Linked DNA regions of Oryctolagus cuniculus. Each later gene encodes a partner of the first gene's protein in a complex. Links are inferred from orthologs where the notes say so. Each region holds a gene or a part of one and is shown in the gene's direction. Other genes may lie near its edges.

Region 1 (4,221 bases):
CTTGGGCCATCCTCCACTGCCCTCCCAGGCCACAGCAGAGAGCTGGACTGGAAGAGGAGCAGCTGGGACTAGAACCTGGCTCCCGTGTGGGATGCCGGCGCTGCAGGCGGAGGATTAACCAAGTGAACCACAGCGCCGGCCCATTTCCCCCCAAGTTTTAACACATATTGTTTAAAAGTACACAAATTATAAGACTAAAAATGCTCACAAAAAGGCACTTTTTAAAAAAATTTATTTATTTGAAAGAGCTACACAGAGAGAGAAGGAGGGGCAGAGAAAGAGAGGTCTTCCATTCGCTGGTTCACTCCCCAGTTGGCCACAACAGCCGGAGTTGAGCTGATCTGAAGCCAGGAGCCAGGAACTTCCTCCAGGTCTCCCACATGGGTGCAGGGGCCCAAGGACTTGGGCCATCTTCTACTGCTTTCCCAGGCCACAGCAGAGAGCTGGATCGGAAGTGAAGCAGCCAGGGCTCGAACCGGCACCCATATGGGATGCTGGCACTGCAGGCGGCAGCTTTACACAGTATGCCACAGTGCTGGCCCCACAAAAGGCACTTGTAAATGGCAGCCAGATCAAGAGCTGTGTCATCACCATGACCCCAGAAGCCCCAGCCACTTGCAGACCAACACCTCAAGGATTAACAACCCAGTTTTTGAGTGGCAGAGTCATTTGTGTTAATGTGGTCACAGTGACTCTGACAGAGACATCACTCACAGGCTTCCCACATTTGTTTCAGTTTCTACAGGAAAGATATTTTTATTTTACTGTTTACATCAAAATGCTGGCAAGTGGCCACCTTGTAAAAAATCATGGAAGTGTTACCTTCACAGTCTCCTAATGTGTCGTGTGGAAAGTGCTTTTGATTGCAATAGAGAGCACCTTCAGTGTGACAAGTTCTGTGGCACCTTTCAGGGAGACTGGGAGGGTTTTATAAGGGCCACAGCCTTACATGGGTGGAGAGGTTAGTAGAGGCACTGGATGAAGGACTAAGGCAGGGACCAGTGAATTGGTGATTAGGAACAAGCTGGAGAGCCAGGATCCCTTGTAGAACATTTAAGCCGAACCACTCAAGCCGTGGATTTCAAAATGAGGTCATATCATAATGAATTGTTTTCAATGACCTGTCAGTTGTTAATACTGCTGTTCTTGCCCTTGATGGAGGCTTACTATTCACAGACTCCAAATCACAGGAGACACCGTGGGACAGCCCTGGATGTCATGTGTGCTCGAACCAGAAATGAACAGCATTTTTGTCATATCTGGCGTGCAGTTGCTTCTTTCTTATTTTTCTAAGTGGAGTGTTTCCAAGATCAGGGTTCATTTTGTGAAACATAGCGTTGCCATGATGTGAAAACCACAAATGAACATGTTTCTCCCATCCGTTCTGTTTTTCAGAGAGTGAGACTTCGCCATGGAGACTCTGGGACATTTAGGTTCTCTCTAGGAACTACAAAGTTGAAGGAAAGCAAATTTTCAAAAGGAAGTTGTCTTGAAAATATGTTTACAACTGACTGATGCTATTGACGGCTTTTTATTGTTTTATTTTTAAATAATAAAACACTTTAAGAAGATTATATTTATGGTAAAAGGAAACTGGACTAACAATGAGGCCAAAGACTTTTCCTGCCACGACTTATTCTGGAAATAGCCGACAGCGACTGCAGGAGATCCGCGAGGGGCTGAAGCAGCCGCCCAAGCCTTCCACTCAGGGGTTGCCCGTGGGACCAAACAGTGATGCTTCCCTGGGGAGCAAGGATGCCGCCAGGCAGCAGCAGAGAGCCACCCCGAAGTTTGGACCTTATCAGAAAGCTCTGCGGGAAATCAGATACTCCTTGTTGCCTTTTGCTAACGAATCCGGCACCTCCACAGTGGCGGAAGTTAACCGGCAGATGCTGCAGGAGCTGGTGAATGCAGGGTGTGACCAGGTGGGTGCAGAGCTGGTGACTGCTCATCCGGGGGTTTGTGCGTGTGCCCTTGAACTGCTCCGTTCCTTCTGCCTAAAACATCTTTTCTAGCTGCCTTTCCTTTTCAGGCAAGATCCAGAAGTTTCTGGGCTCTCCTGAAGTCTCCCTCCCCCATTCTATTCTTGTGCAGATGAGAAGGGCTTTCACACTTCACCCTTTCTTTGGGATTTATTTGGGGTTGTTCTGAGGCAGGCTTTGTCTTGTCTTTGGCTTGTGTATTTTTTATGTAGTTAAGGGGAGGTTTGATTGACATGCATTGGCAATTCTCTGACGCTGTTTTTCTCTCTCTCTCTCTTTTTTTTTTTTTTTTAAGATTTATTTATTTATTTGAAAAAGTTACACAGAGAGAGAGAGAGGACTTCCATCAGATGGTTCATTCCGCAACTGGCCGCAATGGCCGGAACTGTGCCGATCCGAAGCCAGGAGCCAGGAGCTTCCTCCGGGTCTCCCACATGGGTGCAGGGGCCCAATGACTTGGGCCATGTTCCACTGCTTTCCCAGGCCACAGCAGAGAGCCAGATCATTCATGGAGCAGATGGGTCTTGAACTGGCGCCCATGTGGGATACTGGCGCTTCTGGCCAGGGCGTTAACCCGCTGCACCACAGTGCTGGCCCCTGTTTTCTCTTGTTTTCAAAAAAATTGTGTATGTTGTTACAGGAGATGTAATTACATTCATGAGATGAGAAAGAAAAAGCCGAAGGAGCCATGGAAATATGGTCTGATTTCCCTGTTGCTTAGGAATAAAGGGGTACATTAGGGGAAGTGGCACCAATAATGTATAAATACACAATTTATAACTCTACATTTGTACCCCTTAGCAATTCACATAGCTGAAAAGAATCCAGATTAAGGGACTAGGCTCTCTAAAGTGGAGCTAAAATGTAATTGTGTTATGAAATGACTTAGGAAAGCCAGTTCCATCTCTCATCTCAGAACTCACAGTTGTATGAAAGGGAAGTAAGCCAAGTTTTTCTGTTGTCTTAGAAAATCAGCAAGAGTCTGTGCTCAGAGCTCTTCAGGATGGGGTGAGCACATTCAGTTCCTCAGAAGGAAGCTGGCATCGCAGTCCTGGGAAAAGGCTGGCACTGTCATCTCTTATTTCCAAAACAAAGCCCAGGCCTCCTATTGTAGTTTCTCATCATAGCATCTCACTGGGGATTGATGTGTTTGTGAAACGCATCCTTGCTCTTTTGCAGGGGGCTTCTTTGGCCCTGTGAGCTGTGCCAGGATTCACTTGCGAGTGTTGTTAGTTGGAGTTGCTTTTCTCAGGCACAGGCTGCAGACAGTGCTGGCTGCGAGACCACGTGCCACCTCCTGGCAGGACAGGTGTTAAGAGTAGGGAAGGAGCAGGCCTGGGAGACCCCGGACGTTCAGGCCAATGGCAAAGCTTTAAATCTTCTATAAATTACTTGCTGACCAAAGAGGCCATTGAGCCCCATGCCCTTGGCGTTTGTGTTTCAGCCGTGAGGAAGAGGAACAAGTTGAGCAAATAGTCCACGGTGATGTTGGTGGCATCTTAGTAGGGTCAAATCCATCAGCGATAATTACCGCCCATGAAATAATGAAGCCTTGCTGAGCCCCGTCAACATTTCACGTGTGTTACTTGGCAGCACAGAGAGCTCCATGTACCACAGTTATGCTTCGGAAGTGACTCTGTCTTTTGTGTGGAGTGCTGCTTTGTCGCCTACAACAGCTGCGCCTCCTTCCTTCCCTCCAACTCTGGCTGCTTCTGCCCTGGATAAAAGGTGCATTTGCTTTCAGAAATTTCCCACAGGAAAGTCATTGTGAGAGAGAGCAGAGATCAGCTGTGCCGCTAGAGCTGCACATGTCTGGATAAAGCAGGTTATTAGGTGCCAGGATACTGGGGGAAGAGAATCCTAGCCTAGCATCTTTCCCCTTTGTCTCCTATTGTGTTGCCTTTTAACTGAGTTGCAGTTTTGTTCTCCTGTACTTTGAGCTTCGGTGCTATCTTTAACGCCGGTTTTCATCAGAATGGCCGTAAATGCCCTGTTCGTACAGGGTCTTAGATACATGCATTTTATGCAGTTTTATTGATTGCATGTATACACACGTGCATTTATTTCATTTGATTCAGACCAAGACTTATTAAATGTCTATTTGATTTGAGTGTTTGTAAACATCTTTCTCTTCAGATATTTCCTTAAAGTAAAACTTACATTTAAAACAGGTATGGGTCTCCTCCGCCTGTGGTGCCAGCACACCGGGTTCTAGTCCCAGTCGGGGGCGCCAGATTCT
Region 2 (3,645 bases), on another chromosome or scaffold:
CCTCACAGTGAAGCACCCAGCCTGGCTCCCACAGCCCTTGAGTGGCCAAGTAGAGAGGTGAACCCCTGGATCCTACCCCAAGCAGCAGCTCAGCCCCGTCTCACTGTTGGCCCAAGCAATGATAACACAATGTCTCCTGCCACAGAGTGGAATACTTGGAAAAGAGCAAGCATCTGCAGGAGCAGCTCAATGAACTCAAGACCGAGATCGAGGCCCTGAAGCTCAAAGAGAGGGAGACGGCTTTGGACATCCTGCACAACGAGAACTCTGACCGGGGCGGCACCAGCAGCAAGCACAATACCATCAAGAAGGTACCCGCAGTCTCTCGGCTTCTGCTGATCAGGGCAATCATTAATGAAATGTGAGGTTGGCATCTGGTCCCTCAGTAGCCGAGTCATTAGGCTGTTGTCATTTTTCATATGTCCTTAGTTAAGGAAATTTTTCGACTCCTGCCAGAAAGGGAATTTAATCTGCCAGTGACCATGAACCCATTGACTTGATGGAAGTGAAGCTTGTGTTAAAAGCTCTGATGAAATGAATGCCCGTTAGAGGACGGGTTTTGATCCATCACTTAGCAGTAAAGTGGTTCTGTCTTTTAAGCCAAAGGGAGTTATGCCCAGGGAGCTTCCTTGCTTAATGAGAAAGCAAAATGAAATGGAGGCTGCTGAGAACAGACTCCCCGCTAGACTTTTTGTGTTTTTAAGTGGCAAAGGCTATAAAATTCTGTTCTTGATTTAGGAAGCAAATTCTGAATTTTTAACTTCTTTCAAACATAAAAGGAAGTGTCTAGGAGAAGCAGTGTTTTAAAAAATGAGACTTCATTTACGTTGCTAACAATTTCCTATCTTTTTCCAGTGGTATATTGAGCTTTAGGCATCTTAGACACTCAGAAGTTAAATTCCATGCTAATTATCAGCTCAAGAGTATACTTGGTTTATTCGGGCAAAGCAGAAAAGTCATCTCTTGCCAGTTGGTGCTCTGATGGTAACAGATAGCCCAGGATCACAGTAACACCTATAAAATTGGTGTCATTAAGATGAGGCTGTTTCTTGAGTTTAAATAATGATTGATAGAGTTAATTTTTTACTCTTTCTGTTAATGTTTAAAACGGTTTCCATCTGATTGTAGTGGTAAAGCTGTATCTAAAAACTCTGAGAGATGGGTACAACGGAAGCCCTGCCTTCCGTCTCTTGACTCCAGTTACAATTGGCACTGGATAGAGAACTCCTTTAATAGAATAACCTAGGAGGAAAGGCATTTCCACATGCCACATTCCTCTGTCTTCTGGCTTCTCTAATTTCCTGGGTTTCCCTTCCAAAATGAAGTTACGAAACAGCAAGTGGGGAACTAAAGGGAAGCCCAGCCACTAAGCAAAGAGGGAAAACAATGAGTGGGCCAGGAAGCTGGTCAGCCTTGGGCAGGGGCTGCCTCGGGCCCCATCCCCTGCCCGCTCCCCCTCGCCCCCGCTCATGTGGACACCAGGAAGAGTGTCGTCTTGAGCCCAGAGAGACTCCTCTCCAAGCCAGAAAAGCAAACCAGCGAAGTCACGGGTCACCATTTCAGGCCTGTCTGAGCATTTTGCAAATGTGGCATTGTCGATATCACAGGGTGTGTTTTTGTTTTTCTTCATTTTATTTTGCTGGTTTAGCCTCAAGCCCAAGGCAGAAGACCTATCTGCATTTGAGCCCTCAAAGTAGGCTGTTGCAGGTACTCTGTGTGTGGTGATGGTCCTGCCCTCTGTGATACTAACCCATGCATGAGCTTGCCTGTCTTTGTCCCCGGGCCACGCCAAGCCCTCCTGAGGGCAGGTGTGCCTGGGTACTGGCCGCAGCATGCTTTGAGTCTGAGAGCAGGTGTCCAGGGCCCCGGAGGGCTGCCTCGTTCTGAAGAGCATGTCCCGGGGCTGTAGGTTGTCCTGTCCATCTGGTGACATTGTTGGGCTGGGGAAGGTCATGGCTTCTTGTCCAGTCAGGTCTGTCTTAAAGTCCTGTGTCTTGGTGGCCTATTCCTTAGACAGATAACCCTAGCATGAGAATGGGGTCTTTCACTCAAGATCATGGCCTCTCCTGTGGTGATGAGCTCTGCCACCCCGTGGTCACACCTGGCAGCCTCTGGTCACAGAATGGACGCTCGTTTGTGCACATAGGCCTTTCCGAGCACGGGGGTCTGTCCGAGCACAGTGCTGCCACAGGAGGGAGCGAGAGGTGGCCACAGGGCACTCCCCCGGAGCAGTGCAGTCGCAGACACTGGGAGAGGGGCAGGCAGTGGCTGTGCAGGAAGTTAATTGAGTGGTGCCTACTTTCTCCCCACAGCAGCTCCTCCCTCTCCCCATATGCCCTAGGCCGTGGAGAGAACTGTTTTTGCCCAGTTATAACGTGACCTCCTCCCCCTGCTTCTCACCTAATAATCCGCAGCAGTGCCATGTCAGGAAGCCCAGTGCCATCGGACAGCAACGTGGGCTACGCCCGTGGGAGTCCTCACCTCAGGTTTTGGGGGGTAGGACAAGCTCATTGGAAGCTTTCTACTGAAGAGATCCGACGTGAAAGAAATCCCATTTGTGGTGGTTATGCCAGTCAGAGAGGTTAGCAGTGGGGTCCCACAAGGTGGGCTCACACTGTGAGTGGTTCCGAGGACCATGGTGTGAACCCTGCCTCTGGTGTGATCGTTCTGTTGAGTGGGCTCCCGTTTCTTCAGCTTCCAAATCCCACCTTGGTGTTGGTTCCCCGGCTCTGAGCAGGGCCGTGATGAGCGGCCTTAGAAGGGGAGGCCGGGTGGATCTGCTCCTGCAGTAGCCCTGAGACACCCAGAACACCCCAGGGTGGACCCACCTTGGAGCGCTGAACACTTGGCTAACGCAGGGCCAGGCAGAAAGCTGCACTTTGTTTCAGCCCTTCCCTCGACTCCGCTGTCCACCTGAATGCGATTTCTTCTTCCTGTTACAGCACAGCCCTGGCTCTCCCGTCGGTTCTCACTGAGCTCTTACAGACACAGGACGCTTCATTTTCACTTAGATTTTTCCTACTCCTAGGACGTAAACGGGCGCATTCGCTCATTCATGCATTTTCGTGTCTTGATGTGAACCTGTTCTCAAAGCAGGCTGCTGGGCTCCAATCAATCAAGAACCCTGGTTAATCAAGGGTTAATGAAAGCATGGATTTAGCTTTTAATGTGACTGCGGTTCTCTCAGCATCACTAGATTAAATAGCGGCTGTTTTTTGCTGCACAAGAGGTTTGAGGCAAGTTCCATTTTCTAGACTTGGGCAGTGGATAACACGAAAGCTAATTCAAGGGGTGTACCAAGGTCACTGCCACCTTCTGAAATGCCGAGAGCAGGTCCGGCCTGGTTAGCCAGGGTCACCACTGCTGTGTCACTTAGTTCACAGTTCTTAGCCTCTCCTGAGGCCCAGTGTCTTCACCTGCAAAATGGTCCTTGCCCCCAGGACTGTTGTGAGGACTGAATAGGGGTCGCAGGTTGCTTAGGGAGGGCCGAAACCAAGCTGCTGGCCAGCCCGTGGCCAGGGAGGAGGGAGGTGTCATGGGCTGTGCGGCCACGTTTACGCCCACCCTGGTGAGAAGCTTATTCATTCAGTGTGTTTGTGGCCATGTGGTTCAAAAGCCACACTTGCCGGTTCCTCCTGATATCTG

What was found. Proteins that work in one complex are often made in the same cells at the same time.
Region 2: the proteins of LATS2 (region 1) and NF2 are in contact, whole or in part, in a crystal structure (PDB 4ZRI), measured with the Homo sapiens proteins. The link is inferred for Oryctolagus cuniculus from reciprocal best matches to the Homo sapiens genes LATS2 and NF2. Residues at the interface, in NP_055387.2 of Homo sapiens: Tyr73, Ala76, Leu77, Glu79, Ile80, Arg81, Ser83, Leu84, Leu85, Phe87, Ala88, Asn89; in NP_000259.1 of Homo sapiens: Pro135, Glu136, Ala137, Val139, Leu140, Tyr144, Asn175, Leu176, Tyr177, Gln178, Met179, Trp184, Arg187, Trp191, Glu206, Lys209, Ile210.

The regions. Positions count from the first base shown.
Region 1 is NC_091440.1:91,958,868-91,963,088, reverse strand, and holds the start of LATS2 (serine/threonine-protein kinase LATS2), read left to right. Parts: upstream 1-1,397; 5' UTR 1,398-1,604; coding exon 1,605-1,925; intron 1,926-4,221. UniProt on the Homo sapiens protein: Negative regulator of YAP1 in the Hippo signaling pathway that plays a pivotal role in organ size control and tumor suppression by restricting proliferation and promoting apoptosis.
Region 2 is NC_091452.1:23,034,977-23,038,621, forward strand, and holds part of NF2 (merlin), read left to right. Parts: intron 1-145; coding exon 146-311; intron 312-1,648; coding exon of another isoform or gene 1,649-1,684; exon of another isoform or gene 1,685-1,707; intron 1,708-2,942; exon of another isoform or gene 2,943-2,960; intron 2,961-3,645. UniProt on the Homo sapiens protein: Probable regulator of the Hippo/SWH (Sav/Wts/Hpo) signaling pathway, a signaling pathway that plays a pivotal role in tumor suppression by restricting proliferation and promoting apoptosis.